2 linked regions of the Alligator mississippiensis genome follow. The protein of the gene in region 2 purifies or fractionates together with the protein of the main gene of each other region. This does not show direct contact. Links are inferred from orthologs where the notes say so. Each region holds a gene or a part of one and is shown on either strand. Other genes may lie near its edges.

Region 1 (7,888 bases), on a different chromosome or scaffold from region 2:
CTCCCAGAAACAGTGTCCAGGAAGTGTGGCATCACAAGAGACAGTGTGCCACACCAGAAAGGTCTGCTAGTCTTTTTTAAATTGACTAGCACCTCTTTAAGCCCTAAACACTGTAGTACTGAGGACTCAGTAGTGAAAGTGACTACCCCAAAATTAAGCTGATTTGAGTAGGGAGGGTGCTGGCTGTCAAGCAGTACTAAAAAACAAAAATAAAATGATACTTGTCATTGTTTGCTTTTTATTTGTAAATGTTCCCTTATTAATTACCTAAGAAATTGAAAGTCATAAATAAGTGCTTGTACTGTACAGTTTAGATAGAGAAATATTAGGGGTCCACCTATAGAGATTTTTTGGGCCGATACCAATGACCGATTTTTAAGGAGCCATATTGTCCGATACAGATCCAATTCCAATATGCAGCCAGGCAGCTTGGAGAGCAGCATCAGGCTAGTAAGTCTGTTGTGGGGGAAGGGAAGGGGCATGGGGGGGCAAATTGAGGGCCCCCTCCCCCACCCCATGGTGAGGGAGGGAGTGGAGGAGGGACTGCTCAGTTGACGTGGGGCAGGGTGTGGAACAGAGCCACGAGTAGCTCATCCAGGGGGTGCAGCTCTTGCCACTTCACGCACCCCAGGAGGGCACGTGGGGTGAGTGCAGGACAATGCTGGTCTCTTCCCAGTGGGGGGGAGGGGGGGGCACTAAGCTGAACTCTGTTATGCTGTATTTGGGGCAGGCGGCAGCAGTGCTGAGAGAAATGGGGGGGGGGGGGCTCCAACCACTCCAAAATTCGCAGTCCCTGGCCCCATCCCACAGGAGCAACCTATCCCACCCTGTGTGCAGGTCTGTGGGTACACCCCCCTATGCCCTCACAGGGTGCACACAGCAGTGGGAGCTGCCACCTCACCCTGTCTCTACATCCCCTGGACAAGCTGTTTGTGGCTCTGTCCTTTACCCAACCCCAGCGGAGTAGTGCCTGCCCCAGCCCCACTCCCTCCCCCAACAAACTTACCAGCCCGACACTGGTCTCCAACCCTCTAGCTTGTGTTCCTGGCCGCATGCATGCTGCTGCTGTGCACATGCAAGGGCCATTTATTAGCCACATTTTGCCTGATGCAGCCAATAAAGAGCTGATTTCCAAAACTGTCAGTTTTCCCTATATCGGTGCCAATCTGATATGGAACTGATGCATCAGTGCACCTCTAATAAATATCCCATTTACACATCAGCAACAATTTATTCAGTCTATACAGAAGTTTTGTCCAATCCCATGATTTGACTTAGAAAAAAAGAGATTGGTGCTAGTGTCTCCACTGAACAACTGACTGCCTGTGCTTTTTAAAAGTACAATTCCTGTGTTAGAGATAAAGTTGTTCCTATTCATACAGGAATAATTCCATACTTTTTGTCTGAAAAAAAAAAAAAATGTTTAGAAGAGATAGATCAATTACTGATCCGTGAAGGGTGATAAAACTATTACTATGTAATTTGCAATATAATTATCTATATCCCCTGCGACTAAAAATAAGCCTAGCTTATTTCAACTGTAAAGTGGGAATAGTATTGGTCATACAGGCTTAGGGGCAAGATAGTTTGTGTTCATACAGTACTCTGGGTATGTAAAGAGCATCAAGATAAGTATGTCAGTAAAAGTTTTAAATGCTAAGTTATCCCATGGAAAGTCAAACTCTGCTTTGCCATCTGGGCTGCAATTACTTAAGACCACCAAGAGCCAGCAGGGCTACCCAAAGTGCTAGCTGTGCTTTAAAGATAAATTGTTACCGAAAGCCATTTTAATCAAGCCAACTTCACTGAAAAGGTACAGAAAACGATTTGGTGCTACAGCAGAATAACAAGCCTCAAGATGGATTTAGGCAGTGTTTACTAGTATTGAGAACTGCCAGTTCAGGAGAATCCACCACTGACAATTATGAGTAATGGCTCAGTACTGGTAGAGGTCAAGGGTCTACTCCCTTTCCTCTTATTTTAGCACATGAAAGTTCATAAAAATTGCTCTTCTAGACCAGACCCAAAGTCAGCTACTCTAGTAGTACTCTCCCTCCCAAAGCAGCAGACATCAGATGCTTCAGAGGAAGGTGCAAGAAGCAGAGGCAGGTGCAAGACAGCACGTCCTGTCCCGTCCCACCCCTGCCCCATCTCCCTCTCAATGTGAAACACTGAGAAACTGGACAGCACTGGCTTAAGCTGTTTCTAAGCCGCTGGGGGCCGCATGCCACAGGGCAGCATTGGTAGGGGCTGTGGTGTGCACACATGACCCCTGCTGCACCGCACCCCCCCCCGTGGGTGCCTCCCCCCACTGCTGCACCGCACACTGCAACCCCAACCCTACACAGCTCCGTGTCCCATACCGCGCCCCGCCACAGTGGCAGGGCACAAGGTGGAAGCTGGAGGATGGAGGAAACGCTCTGTGGCGGCCAGAAGGATGTTACGGCAACTGGTGCCAGGTGGGGACCAGGGGCTGCCAGAGGCCACGAGTGGGACCGCCCCGGCCTCAGGCTCTGGATGCAACGCCCAGGGCTCCTCCCCGTAGCGGCGGCGCCTCCAGACCTTCTGGCATCCAAGCGTCATTTCTTCCCCAAACCTCACGACGCTTCTTTTCCTCACACGTGCCAACGTGCTCGGCTTCCTCAGCGCCCCGTGCGGCTTGCCCCAGCGCTCCCGCGACACGGGGAGCGACGCAGGCAGATGCTAACAGGGCCCAGCGACACCCAGCACAAGCGGCTCCCCTGGGGCGGGTCCCCGTGAGCGTGAGGGAGAAGACGCCCCCCAGCCGGACCCGTCCGAGGTGAGGATTACAGGAACCCGGGGGGACAGGAAGGACCCTGGAGCTCGAGGAAGAAGCGAGGCTGCTGCAAGGCGTTGGCCAGGCTCCTTCACCCGGGCGGGGGGCTTACACAAGCCTGAGCCCCGACGGCCAGGGCCAGGGCCACCCCCCAGGAGCACTCCGCCCTGGGAAAGGCCAAGGCCAAGGCGGGGGAGGGGCCGCGCCCGAGTCCCGCCGCTCGCTCCCCGCCTCTCTCACCAGCTCCGTAGCAGCCCCGACGCACACCGGAAACGTCTCCTGTCCGCTGCGCTGCGTCGTGCCGTCACTTCCGCCTCCGCCAGAACTCCAATCCGAGAGCACCAACCCTAACCCCCCACCCCATCAGCCCGGGGCGGGGGGTACACTCTAGCCGCCAATCGGAGCTTAGAATAACGCCGCCACCGCATCATGGGCTCGAGAGGGTCGGTGTGCGCATGCGCAGAAGTCTACCGCCTGCGGGTGGGGGTGGGGCGTGCGGTGTCTCCGCCCACCGCGCTCAGCTGCGAGACCCCTCACAGCCCCCACAGAGCCACGTGGCACAGGGAGTCCTAGTGTACCGCAGACTCCGGCACCTGCCATCCTATGGCCTGCCGGTCAGGTGCTGAGGGGGTCGCTCAGTGCAGTGGGGTCACCCCTCCCCCCTTCAGCGGTCATCACTGAGTGCCGGTGGAGGGGCAGGGCCCGTGGGTGCGGAAAGGGCTGGCATCCACCAAGGGATGAGCGAGCCAGCCTGGCGCCTGCTGCTGGGCTCGGCACCCTGGGCGCACCTGAGAGGCACGCGCTCCCCAAGCAGGGGCTCCCTGGCTTTCACACGGGGCAAAGGAGCAGCCTCCTGGCACCTACGCGCAGGGCTGGGACTCGGCCAAGCCTCCCTCCGAAACACCACGGGGCACCCGCGTCTCCGCAGGCAGGGCGCCTCTGATTTGGTGGTCTCATTGCACAGCTACACACGCAACACGTGTCTTGTAGCCCCACGCTTTAGCAAGGCTGAGCTCGGCCTAGTGACTAAAACGATCAGCTGCCATCTGGTGCCCTAGAAAACCATCGCGTTCAGAGCACAAGGCAGGGTGCTCACGTATTAGCCCATTACTCACTCCAAAAACAAGTCCACCCTACTTCCTTAAACTTCAACACTCCTTAGGCCTCATAAATCACGCCCCTTCCCTTCCCGTAAGGTTGGCTCACCACCCGCTCTATTAAAGGAATTTGTTTTCTAGTCACGGCCGGGCCATGCAGGCTGCCTTGGAAGTGATTTAAATGAAGCAAGGCAACATTTTTATTTTCATGGACACATTGACCTGTTAACGAAGGGGATTTCATCCCCTGCTGCATGAGAAATAAAATGGGCTCGTTCTGCTTTGAGCAGGGGGTTGGATTAGATGTGACCTCCTGATGTCCCTCCCAGCCCTCCTGTTCTGTGACTCAATTACATCACCATTATTACATCACCATTACATCTGGGAACTCTGGCTGGACTGGGTTGACCGTAAAACACGAGAAAGCGATATTCCTACTTTGGGGCCGTGAGCTTCTGGGTCAAGAACACCAGTGTTTATTGATGTATTGTTTCATGAATTTATCATAATGTGTTTGTGCCTGAAAGCTTGCAACTAAAACATTTTTTTTTTTTTTGCAAAAATCTTGGTGTAATAAAATATATCATCTCTACTACAAGTCCTGATTGCCTTTTCAGTACACATTTGAGGTTGTGCCTGAATTGGCCCAAAGAATCATCTTTCACAGCAGCTTTTATCACTGCCTGTAATGCAGGTTCTGAATTTCTAGCTTCATTTAATATTGGGAGTTCTGCCATCCCAAAGCCTGCCAATCTGGCCTAGATTTATAGTGTTGTTGATGTTAAGGTCAGCTACACATTGAATAAGCTTCTAAGACTTTTCTAGTTCCATTGTTTCTGGAAGTTCTCCAAGACTCACCCAATGTTTTATGAAATGCACTGGAATAAGAGGCTCTAGCTGCCACCTCCTACCCTGTATAAGTAGGTGTAGCAAAATTTCATGTATGAGTGGGTACAGGGCACATCTACCAGCTGTTACACATAGGTTGGGTATAATTATTTCAAGCTTATTTGGCTGCTGTATCTGACTCCCAGATAGAAATGCAAGATTAGAAAATGCATTACAATTCTCTCTCGCTCATGGACCAGTAAGAATCAGAAAATAGAGTTTTTCGGTTGCCAGACATGCCCAACAACCACAACTCAGGTGCAGGAATAGTCTGTCACATGAGAACACTGGGGAGCGGACCAGATTCAGAAACATTTTACCCCTCATTTTTCATCTCAATTTTGGAGAGGTATGGATTAAACAGAACCTAGGTTTTGTTTAGATTTTGTTTTGCAGTAACAAAATCCCGCTGATGACCTTGCAAAATGAACCCCAGTTTTTGCATATTACTAGCCTCTCATCTTTCTATCAGATTTTTCTTTATAAAATCCCTGTCATCTCTCTGTTCCCCTTCATTTTTATTAAAATCAACCTTTTGATTGACAGAGTCAGGAAAATGACCATATCTTGTTTTGCTCATAATTTTCTAAAGAAAAAAAGCTGTGCACTTTACTTGTGAACTTGCTGATCTTGCCAATTTAAAACTGAGCTTCTGACTGTATAAAGAACAAAATGATTACAGTAGCTGAATTAACAGTGGTAATAAAGGTCATTGTGGAATAGATTCTCTGACCTTCTAAGGGGACACATTATTTCATCTAGCCGTTTAAGAAAGTGATTGCAAAGACACCATCCTCCAGCTAATTTAATAAAATGCCCATATGCTACATATAGGTTAGTGATGTACTATACTCCAAATGAATAATTCTATATGCCCTAGTTCCTATTAAACTATCTTCTATTTTGGAATATTTTTTTCTGTTGAGTAATTAAAATCTTAATCTCTTTATATTTATTTTCTTTAGTTGACTTTCCATCACCCTCTCCTCAGTGCAAGGAACTAGGGCATGGTTTCTGTAACATTTTTGTTTAAGTTTAAGCAGCAAACACTTCAGGCAGTAATCAATATTTGCTCTGTATTCAGTACTTAATGAATTGTTTGACCAGCTGTAAGGAAAAAAAATCCAAAATATTGTTTTTAAATTAGCAACTGTTTGGATTAGTAAATCATTTGCTAATTCATCCCAATTTTTTGCAAATGGGCTTGTGAACTGTTAGGGTGGGTTGTCTGAAATCTGTTTTCTTCAATTTCTAATCCATTTATGGAGCTGTTAGTCCATAAACTGCAAAACTTTACTTTGACATTAGCCAAATACTTATGCACCATTTTACATTGTCAAAATAGGACTAATGTGGTTGACTTCAACAGACATTCTTCCCAGAAGTACACTTCACTTTGAGAGAGGAATGTGCTTCCTGGCATGCATTTTCAGTTGAAAAACCAATCACACTAATCACGAAGCTAGGCTAGCTGAGAATTATTGGAGTATGTGATTAAAAGGCTTGCCTCTTCAGCAAGGGAGACATCACTGAAATATTCAAGCTTTGCTATTCAACTAGATGTAGAATCAAAAAAACTAAAAAGCCTAGAAGTTATGGACTTGTGATATCCAATAGTAATTTCCAAGCATCACGGCATGGATGCTACTTTAACTATACATAGGATCTCATTTCCTACAGCACAGTAGAAGAAGCATTTCCCATTATTTACACTGAAAGGGAATGTTCACTGCCTGTTTGAGGCAACAGGTGCTTTCACTGAAGCAGCATCTGTTTTAACAAGTTTAGTGGCTTTGGCTTGTTAGAGAACCCATATGGGCTCTGAACAAGTCCATACTCAAATGCTAATTAATTTGTACTAATTACTGTCAAGTATGATAATTCTATCAACCGGTAGATTTAAGAAGTAGTGCATATATAATTATATCCACAAAATTATGTGCAAGGTGAACAGCAAGGTTGCTTATGCAAGATCCCTAGAACTGTATGCACAAAGTTAGGTATGTATTTAAGTGCAAGGGAGAAATCAGATTCCCACTGGTTCTTCTCCTTGTAGCCTGGTGGTTGATGGCTTAAGAATGATATGTCACGCTTTGCTTTTTGGGAATTGGCCAACCATGGTCATGCAATCCATATTTATAGCCAAATTCCAGTCGCTAGTATGTTGTGACCATTTTGAAAAGGAAGTTATGAAAGGAGCCAAAGTAACAGTACCCAGAAATAGAGAAGTGAAGTTGCAGTCTAGAAACACATGCATAATTCGGGGGGGGGGGAAGGGAGGCTGTTTCAGTACTAGACAGGAAAGCTTGGACAAGTTTCTGAGAAGCTAACATACTCCAAGAAGGATCCTGTTAAAAAGAAATTGCCCCTCAACTATGGACAAGGCTGTTTTACACTAACAGAGTACTATTGAACTTAATAGTCTTACTCCCGATTTTTGTGCAAGCAGGAGCTGGATGGGGACATGGCTCTGATCCACAGAGGGTCAAAAATTCCCCACTGATGGCAGTAGGTACTGAATTAGGCTTGAATATAGTTAAAGTCTCTCTATGCATAGAGAGAGCCTGAGCCTGCCTTGTTGAGATCTATAAAAACAGACAGTAGATTAATCTGGATAGAAAATGTTCATGCCAAAACCTTGAAAATGAAGGAAAGAGCAATAAATTGTCACTGACACCATTAACGTTTTCCCTATGGCACATGGGTATAAAGACAAAAATCAGAAGCATCTCTTATTTTTTATTAGGGTTTATTATCTCAGATTTTTCCACATGTAGTCCTTAGAGACTATATGAAAATGTTTCGTACATATGGCATTGCACACAGTACAAAATAAGCAAGCAGTATATGTTCATTTATAGTTAAAACATAGCTACAATATTTGCATTCCTACAATCTTTACCTTTACTAGTCTGAATACATACATCTCTATTGCTAGTTCTCTTTAAAACCGTTAAAAAAAGGCAGCAATATGTAGATGGAAGGCAAGTAGTCCTTTATTTTCCTTCTTATTGCCATTTTCCCTTTATTGTCATCACTTTGGACTTGTGATTTTCATAAGGCTTATTGTTTAATGAATAGAGTTACCTGTAATTAGTAAAAATAT
Region 2 (8,774 bases):
AAGCAGGACGCCCAGTGACCAAACTGCAGCTGATCTGCCATGGTACCTGTGGTAGCGAATCCATTCTGGGGGGCTGTACACTCTTGTGCCTGCAAGACAAGAGCAAAAACTCGCTATAAGGAAAGTGTTTGGTCTAAGCCTAGGCATCAGAACAAAAACAGGAATGATTAAAAGCCGACTGAATTAATCAACGGCATGAATGTGGCTTCAAGACAGCAAGTCAGGTAGCTGAAGCTCCAGGCTTTAGGTTGCAATAACTCAAGTGTGAAGCTTCAGTACAGGTAGTTTGACAGTGCAAAGCTCCTGGTGACTGCAGGGCTGTGCTTAGGAACATGGCCCCGAAGTGAAGCAGGACCAAACAAAACACAAGCAGCAACCACACTTTCCAGCTTTAATGGACTTGAGACCCTTAACTGCATCTCCTGAAGCCAGACTGCCAATGCTTCAGTCCAGTCACCCAGCATCCAAGGGTTGAGACCTCATCTACTGCATCAAAAAAGGGATCCAGGCAACCTTTCAATCAGTTCTCCATAAAAGGCTCTGCTGGGCAAATATGGCAATATCATTTACATCCCAGAGAGGAGGCGGCTTGCTAGACTGTATAGCAGCCTACCCCATAAAAGGGAATACAGTCAGCCGCACGTGAGGCCAGCCCACTCCTAAGCGATGAAGTAACGTTTGTTGTTCAACATCAAGGGAGCAGTTTCGCCCGGGCAGGCAAGCAGTTTGTAGTTGTGCATGTGATAATTAGAGCTGGGCTCGAATTCCAGCCTGCTTTGCTGCTGCAGAGGCTTACACCCTTCGCCTTTTGTTGTATCTGATCTCTTCCCTTCTGGCAGGAAGAGGAGACTGAGGTCAGAGCTGCTAGTCTGGTTTCTGGCCACGTGACTCTTGTTTACAAACTTTCGGTTGTAAAAAGATCCCCGGTGCCCCGCCAGGGGGCATCACCAGCTCGAGAAATTCCGCGGGAGGAAGAACCCAGCCCTGGTCATTAACCGTTACATTAAAAACAAAAAATGCAGCGCAGGCCAAGCCATTTGAAGAGGCAGGAGCAAAACAAACCCCAGGCAACACGCGGGGGTTTTGCAGATTAACCGCCCTCCGCCGAAGAAGCCGGAATATACGGTGGAATAATCTCCTACGTCACCCACTGGGCAAGCCCGAGCCCAAGCTCAAAGGTCAAATGCTTTTCCCCACGAGCCACGCTCCCCCCCAATACAAAAAGGGCAAAGGCCCGGGTGCCTTTCTGCGGCAGAAAGGGAGCCGGCTGTAAGCAGATCTCCCTCAGCTCCAATTTCACAACATACATCCCCGACAAAAAGCAACTTTCCAGCGAAATGAATAATTTAGCGAGATGGCGGAGGCGGCAGCTTCCTTCTCCTCGTGGCCCCCCTCCCCATATTGAAGGCCATCCATCACTGGAAGGAAACAGCACGAGAGCCCTTTCTCTCTCTCTCTCAAGCCTGGGAGAGGAAAAACAATATCCTCTCCCTCGCTTTCTAGCTGCCAGATGAGGTTAGGATCCGAATCAGAGCAGCATGGCTGCAGACAGGTTTTCACTCAATCTTTCCCCAACCTATGCTACAGGAGAGATGGACCCGGGGGTGGGAAATGGGTCCATCAGGACCAAACCGAGCCCCAGACTTCAACTTTCTCCATCCTCAGGGCTCACAGAGGCATCAGCCTGCCAGCGAGTTCAGCCCCGGTCTCTGCCATGTTGCCCAAGGAGACGCAGCCCCTGCGTGACAGGCAGCCACCACCGATGTCTGGCATGACGCCTAGCGGGAAATGTTATGTGGGGACAGGGCAGGGAGACAAGCCTGAGAGGTCTCGGAGAGGCGATGCTTCCAGCAAAATAGATTTAGCCGATAACCACGCCAGCACAGAGAAAGCGAGCTCATTCCCCGGCTGGGAAATTACTGACTAGGCAGGGGGAGGGAACAACCCGTTTCTAAGAGGAATTTCCCCGGCTTCCTCTCTACGCAGGTAAAACATGAGGGGGATGGAAAGAGTCGCTCACCGTCGAAATCAGTGTACACCGTGTCCTTGAGCAAGGCTCCGGACCCAAAATCGATCAGCTTCAGTTCTCCGCTGTTCAGGTCAATGAGGATGTTCTCGTCCTTGATATCCCGGTGCAGGACCCCGCAGCTGTGACAGTGCCGGACGGCCTCCAGGACCTGGCGGAAGAAGCCGCGGGCCAGCTCCTCGGCCAGGGCCCCCCGCTCCGTGATGAAGTCGAACAGATCCTGCACGGGGTCGGGCCGCTCCAGCACCAGGACGAAGCTGTCGGGCCTCTCGAACCAGTCCAGGAGCCGGATCACGCCGCGGAAGCCGGAGCCCACCTTCTTCAGCAGCAGGATTTCCATGGGCACGCGGGTGCCGCCGGGCTAGCACAGAGAGCAGAGAGCTCGTCAGCACGGGCGGGAGGGCTCAGCGGCCGGCGCCGTGCCGTGCCAGGCCGCGCCGGGGTGCTGGGCGCCCTCGTCTCCCCCACTTACCAGCTCTCCCCAGTCCGAGATGCGGTCCCGAGCCACGTGCTTGATGGCCACCTGCAACCCAAACACAACCACGCGTCAGACAGAGCCGGCCGGGGGCAAGCGGGAGGCGCAGAAGGAGGGGGGCGCAGGCGGCGAGCACTCACCGGGGCGCTGTCGGACAGGCGGGTGCCCGAGTAGACCGAGCCGAAGCCGCCGCTGCCCAGCAGCGAGCCCACCTGGTACAGCTTCTCCAGCGGCTCCTTCTCCTTCCCTGCGGGCCAGGGCACAAGCGGGGTCAGCACCAGCCCATCCGGAGCAACCGCACGCACCCGACTGAACCCAATCTGCGTTACCCCCAGGCCCCAATCCGGATCACCTCCCCCCCACCGTGCAATCCGGATTTGATTAGCATGACCCCCCCGGATCCGATCCGGATGCACTCCCCCGACACCTGGCTGCACGGCCCCGAGGCCACTGCGGAGTGGGTGCGGGCGAGCCCCGGGCTCACCTGGCGGCAGCTTGGCCGGGTGCAGGTCGCCGGGCGGCGCGGAGCAGAGGTGCGCCAGGGAGTTGATCTTGGACAGCAGCATCCCCGCGCTGTCGCCCTGCTCCGGCACCGGCACCGGCACCGCCCGAACCGCGCCGGGCGCCAGCGGGTCGGTTGGGCTCGGCTCGGGGCCGAGGCGGGGCGGCGGCTGCAGCGGGTTGGCGGCGGGGCGGGGCGGGGCGGCGGCAGCGGCGGGTGCTCCGCGCGGTGCCGTGCTCCCGTGTGGCGCCGGCGCCCGCTCCGGCAGCCTGTAGTAACGGGGGGAGGGGAGCGCGGGGGGCGGGGCCGGGGACAGCCGCGGGGCGGGGCCTGGCGGCGGGGGCGGGGGGGGGCGCCGCAGCCAATCAGGGGCGGCGCGTGGCTTTCCCCGCCCGTCAGAATGGGGAGGGCGGGCTCGAGACGTGGCGGGAAGGAAAAGGCGCCAAGAGAGGGGCGGGCAGGGGAGCCCCGTGCCCCAGCACGTGCTGCGGGGGCGCCCCCTCAATTTAAAGGGCCAAGCCCCCACTGCACCCCTTTGATTTTAAGGAGCAAACTCCCTTGATTTTAAGGGCAAACCCCCACTGCACCCCCTTAATCCTGAGGGGCAGGGGCGCTGTCCCCTCTGTCTCTGCACGGTGCCTCCCTTGGGCCCTCCAGACACAATCCCAGGTGCACAGCATACCTATGGGGGACACAGCCATGGGAGGCTGTGGCGCCGGTGGCCCCCCTTGCATCAGCAGGGTGGTGGAGCTCGGCAGGGATTTCAGGGTCAGCTCCTCCCAGCCTTGCGTAGAGTCGGGGCGGCTGCTCCGGAAGCGCCGATGCGCAGGCCTCCCCTGCTGGAGAGCTTCTGGCCAAGGAGCTCCTTCAATTCCCCTTCACCGCTTGGTCTGTGGCCCGACCACACGTGTGCCTAGGGTGGCCATCATGCAGGACAGTCCAGTTGTCCTCTATTATACGAAACCGGGTGCCTTTGTGTCCTCTGCTCTTCTCTTGAAGAGAAATAAAGGCGTCGGGTTTGGTATCAATAGAGGACAGAGTAGCAGAAAACCGGACCATCCTCTATGATGGCCACCCTCTGTCACCATATACATGCGCTCATAAATAAGATGTGGTAAACGGCATGGAGCCCGCTTCGTTGACTTCTCCAAGGCAGCATCTGCCATCCCCACCTCTTGTTGCAGCCTGGCAGGCGCGTCTTTTTTCAAATCGCTCCTAAGAAGCAATCGTGTGCTTATTGTCCCGGTCTAAGTTCAGGGTCCAGGGTTGTGATATGCACCCTTTGGTATGTATCCAGGTAGAGAAGGCTCAATGCAGCCTTTAATAGGCAAATGGCATCTCAGATGGGGCCTCCAAGCGCGTATTTTGCATGAAGGAGCTGCTGCAAAAGCGAAGGCCAGCCGAAACGTTTCCGCAATATTTTGACTTTAAACAAGTCCCAACAGGAACAACTGTTTTTAAAACAAGCAAACACTTCCCAGCAGTGCTTGCAAAGCAAACACTGCAGAAACCCGAAAGCGAAACTTGCTATAAACACAAGTGAGATTGACTGGTCTCCATCACATGAAAACAGTGCAAAGGTGAATGAAACACAAATGCTCAGCATAGATTGCATGTTAAAAATTCCTTCATGCCTTGCATTTGTTTTTTTGCTGGGTAAAAACACTATCAAATGAGAATTTGCTGCAACGCGCGTTAGGGCTCACTGCATCTTGCAGACCTGACTGCAAGCAAGGCAATGGAGAAGGCAGTATTCATTTAGTCCTTGTCAATACTTTCAGGTCTTGGATCCCCTTAAACTTATGACTATGTCATAGTACTGGTATTAGGATCTAGATTCTGTCACCCAGTATTGGTTGTTTTGAATCTCTTCGGTGCAACTACCCTGCTAGGAAGCCGCTTTTTGGGAAATACTGGGAATTACTCTTTCTTAGCAAGAATTTCAGGTGGGATAGGCTGGTATAGCAGCTCTCCTCCCTTTCCTCCCTGAATACCAGTGTGGGGGATTCGGTCAGGACAAAGGAGTAAGAGTGAGGCATTCTCTGTGCAGGATATCCTTAGTGGGATAGGTGCATAGGTGACTGGTAGGGGGTGCACGTGCCCCCCCAGCAGGGCTGGTGCCCCCCCAATGGCCAACACTGACTGTCGGTACAGCTGGTGCCTGCCCTGACAGGGCTGCCACTGTCAGTGGCTTCTGCGGGTGCCCCCCCAGATTCAGGAGGCACCAGTCACTCACGTCCTCTTGCTTTTTTCCTATCCTCTTCTTGCTTTCTTTCTGCAGAAAAAAAGAGATGTTCCTGCTGATGATGCAACATAATGCCTGAGGCTTTCCACAAAATATTCCAAAAATTAGAAAGTGGCATGGTTCCCCTTCCTCCATAACTTGGCCGCTGTCTTTGGCAGTAGAAAATACTACAGAAAATCAATGAGTTTATGCTGCATTTGCTCCGGAGAACCTTGGTGCAGAAGTTCCTGAATTTCTGTCAGAGGAAGTTCAGATGGAGAGAGGAAGTTGACAGAGGAGTCGGTGTAAAATTGAAAGGTGTTGAGTTAGGTGTCATAGCCCTATAGATCTAGGCAGGGTTAGATTGAAACAATGGCAGATGGTAGACTGGAATAAGGAGGTGGGTGAGAAGAGAGCTTTGAGGTTCCCCATGCAGTCTAGCTGGAGGACCCGGGACTAAGCAGGCACAGAGGGAGCAGCAATGCCAGCCAGGTGAGGAGAAAGCCAGCAATGCCAGTGTTTTGTTCGAAGCTTTCCAAGAAGGAAGTGTCACGCAGTGCACCGAGGTCGAAGGGTATAAGGAGACTGACTCAGCCTGGGTCAACAGGGTGGAACAGGTCCACAGCTATGTAGAGAAGGTTATTTTCAATTGTTTCTTGGTGCAGAAGTCAGTCTGAATTTGATCAGAAATACTGGGAGGCTGAAGAGAGATGAGTGCTCCCAGGGGTTTTCTGAGAAAAGCAAAGGCTGGTTGCTTTGAAGGTTGTTTCACTGTGCCTTGGCACAGTAGGGCAATATGTTTGGTGTGAAGGGTAGCTGGGATACAGCCTCTATGAACAGAACGAAAGGGATGAGGAAATGAGACTAAATCAAGGAGGTGACCTAGGTTCAAGCCCCTGCTTTGCTTCAGACTTCTTGTTCGACCTTGGGCAAATCCCTTAGCCTTGCTGTTTCCCATCTGTAAAATGGGGATAATGGCACCCTGCCTTGTGGGGATAAATACATGCATGATTACAAGCGTCTTACGTACCGTGCTAAAGGAGGCGGTATAATTGCCATCGGTAGATGATGGCAGTCGAGTCAAACGACGAATTTGCTGTTTGCTTTGGCAAAGGGAGGGATGTAGCGGGAGCAGTTGAGGCCATTTCTGATCTGTTCTATGGGAACATGGTGCGTCTTTTATTGGTCCAAATCCAAGGGAAAAAATCTACAAGGCTGCTTGACTTTTAGTATTAGAGGACTGTTTGGTAACAGTGCCTGTCAAGGTTGGCATCAGCAACACAAGCCAGACCCATTTTACTGTTCCGATGAAGTTGGTTTGGATTGGTCTTGGCTATTATTGCCATTACTTCATTGCTTCCTGATGCATGCAGGCAAACTGGTGTCTGAACTTTTCCCTTTTCTAGTAAAAGTGGAGATTCCAGCGGGGGTTCTTGACCAACATTTTTTCCACAGAAGTCGCTGGCTGAGATGCTTTGCTGAGTTCCAGAGATAAGATAAATAATTTACTGGATGTAGGTTTCTGATTACTCACTCTATTAGCATTTAGAGCAAAGAGCTCCAGCCACTGGGAGCTAAATTATTACAGATGAAGTCCATCTGGGCTATTTTGCCCGAGCAGACCAGGGAGCTCCCAGCATCCCACACATACTTGGAGAATGAATTGCTTAAATCTAACGGGTTTTACTGGAAATTCTGGTGAGCGCTGTTTTCTTTTGCTATTTAAAAAAACACACAGCGGCTCAGGCTCCTTGCTGAGTCAAAACAAAACTCCACAATTGATTTTCAAAGATTACACAGAATAAAATAGTTGCAAAGAGAGTTCTAATCTCAAACACTGTAGTTGTCCAGAGACAGGCTGCACATGGTGGGAGCGACTTTTAAGGGCATTTTAGAGTTGAGATTAAATATTTTCCTAAGGCTGAGTATCCTTGCTTTCTGGAGAAGTATTTTGCTAAAGGGAAACAAATGCTCACACAATTTCTGGAAGTGGCCCACAAAGCAATTAGAGGTCCAACAAAAGCGTTACACCTTAAAGTGGCTGTGTAGATACTCCCACTCCAAATGGCATAAATACATAAGATGTGAGACATACTCTGATTCGATACGTTGGGTTCACTAATGGATGGCCACGTAGTGCCTCCAAACCACTGCCATGTTATCCTCTCCCTCAAGTACCGCACACTGTAGTCAAGTCTGTAAAACACATTGCAGTTACCACCTCCTGTTTTTGACTGACTCATAGCTTTCAAAAACACCCTTTTCTGGGTGCTGAAAGTTTTTAGGCTCGCTCTCTGGCCAAGGTGAAAATTTTTGTTGTTGGAAAGTTTGAAAAACATCTAATGCAGCCATTTTCGAGTGATGCAAGACTGGAAAAAAAAAAGATTGTATCTATTATTAGTTATTCCCACAAGTCATCTTCTTTAAGTCAATAGGCGTGAGTAAGCACTCAGCGATGGAAGTAAGTTCCTCAGACTCGGGCCCGTGCTAATTATTGCATGCCATACAGCGATGATGAAAGGTAGCAAGCTGACTGCCCTAGAACCAGTGGTTCTTTATTTACCAACACGGATAGCCGAGGGAGTACCAGGGCAAGCTGTCCTACCAGCGTGCCTTCCTTCTGACCTGCCGGAGGGACCGCCTCCAGAGAAGAAAGGCTAGTACATCCTCCTCTGCCTCTCTGTTGAAACTGCTAATTAGCCTCAAATGTAGCAGTGCTGCTCCTGAATGCAGATGCTAGGGACAAAATCCTCAGGTGGCGTAAAGCAGCCTGGCTCCGCTGAGGTCCAAGGGCAGCGTAGATCGGCAGATGCGGCCATGCGTTCTGGAGGTCTGCCTGAAGATTTCACCCCATTGCCACATGCCTCTTAGTGTCAGGGCAAACAGACAAAGCTGACTGGCACCTTTGCTTGGCAGATGCACCGGTATGAACTGTGTCTGAGAATAGCTTTGCCAGTCTCTGCTAAGGGATCGGACTACTGCTGTGACAGCAATGGTCCACTCGTGTCTGGGGTCAACCCCTAATGCAGACAAGGCCTTGGAGGAAGAGCAAGTCCTCCATACTTATTGCACTCGCCCTATGAAATGGCCACCCGAGGGCTTCAATCACCATTGATCTATACTGGGTTTGAACTGGCAATGGAGAGCGGAAAGGAGCTAGCTCCCATTATCTCCGCCCTGAGCCATGCAGACACAGGTGGTATGGGCCTGCTAGTTTCTAGCTGAAGGCCCAGACTTATTTTGCAATCTTCAGGTGTTCCATAAGACAGCGTATATTTTCCCCAGATGGACTAAATTGTGTCTGAAAGCTCCTGTTCACGCAAACCCAGGCCTAGGCGGATGCATTTAGCATTTCCCTTTTTCCAACCTGCGCTTCACAGCTCCCTGCTTGAAGCAATTAGGATGTGTCAGGTGTTAGAAAAAAAATCCTGCTCGCTACCTGTTTTGTGCTGGGCTGGCGGCATAACCTACTTTTCTGCTTGACTCCAACCCCACCACCTTCTGTCAGAATAAAAGCTGCGGATGTCAGCCGCTCCATGCCAGCAGC

The links.
Region 1: the proteins of PIM1 (region 2) and EDC3 purify together in Homo sapiens (affinity purification with mass spectrometry; 3 studies listed by BioGRID and IntAct, counting the BioPlex papers as one, with this or other methods). This does not show direct contact. The link is inferred for Alligator mississippiensis from reciprocal best matches to the Homo sapiens genes PIM1 and EDC3.

What each region holds. Positions count from the first base shown.
Region 1 is NC_081834.1:41,704,979-41,712,866, reverse strand, and holds the start of EDC3 (enhancer of mRNA-decapping protein 3), read right to left. Parts: upstream 3,195-7,888; 5' UTR 3,038-3,194; intron 2,945-3,037; exon of another isoform or gene 2,620-2,944; intron 1-2,619. UniProt on the Homo sapiens protein: Binds single-stranded RNA. Involved in the process of mRNA degradation and in the positive regulation of mRNA decapping. May play a role in spermiogenesis and oogenesis.
Region 2 is NC_081837.1:35,905,753-35,914,526, reverse strand, and holds the start of PIM1 (serine/threonine-protein kinase pim-1), read right to left. Parts: upstream 3,230-8,774; 5' UTR 3,068-3,229; coding exon 2,986-3,067; intron 2,749-2,985; coding exon 2,642-2,748; intron 2,550-2,641; coding exon 2,499-2,549; intron 2,388-2,498; coding exon 2,021-2,387; intron 90-2,020; coding exon 1-89. UniProt on the Homo sapiens protein: Proto-oncogene with serine/threonine kinase activity involved in cell survival and cell proliferation and thus providing a selective advantage in tumorigenesis.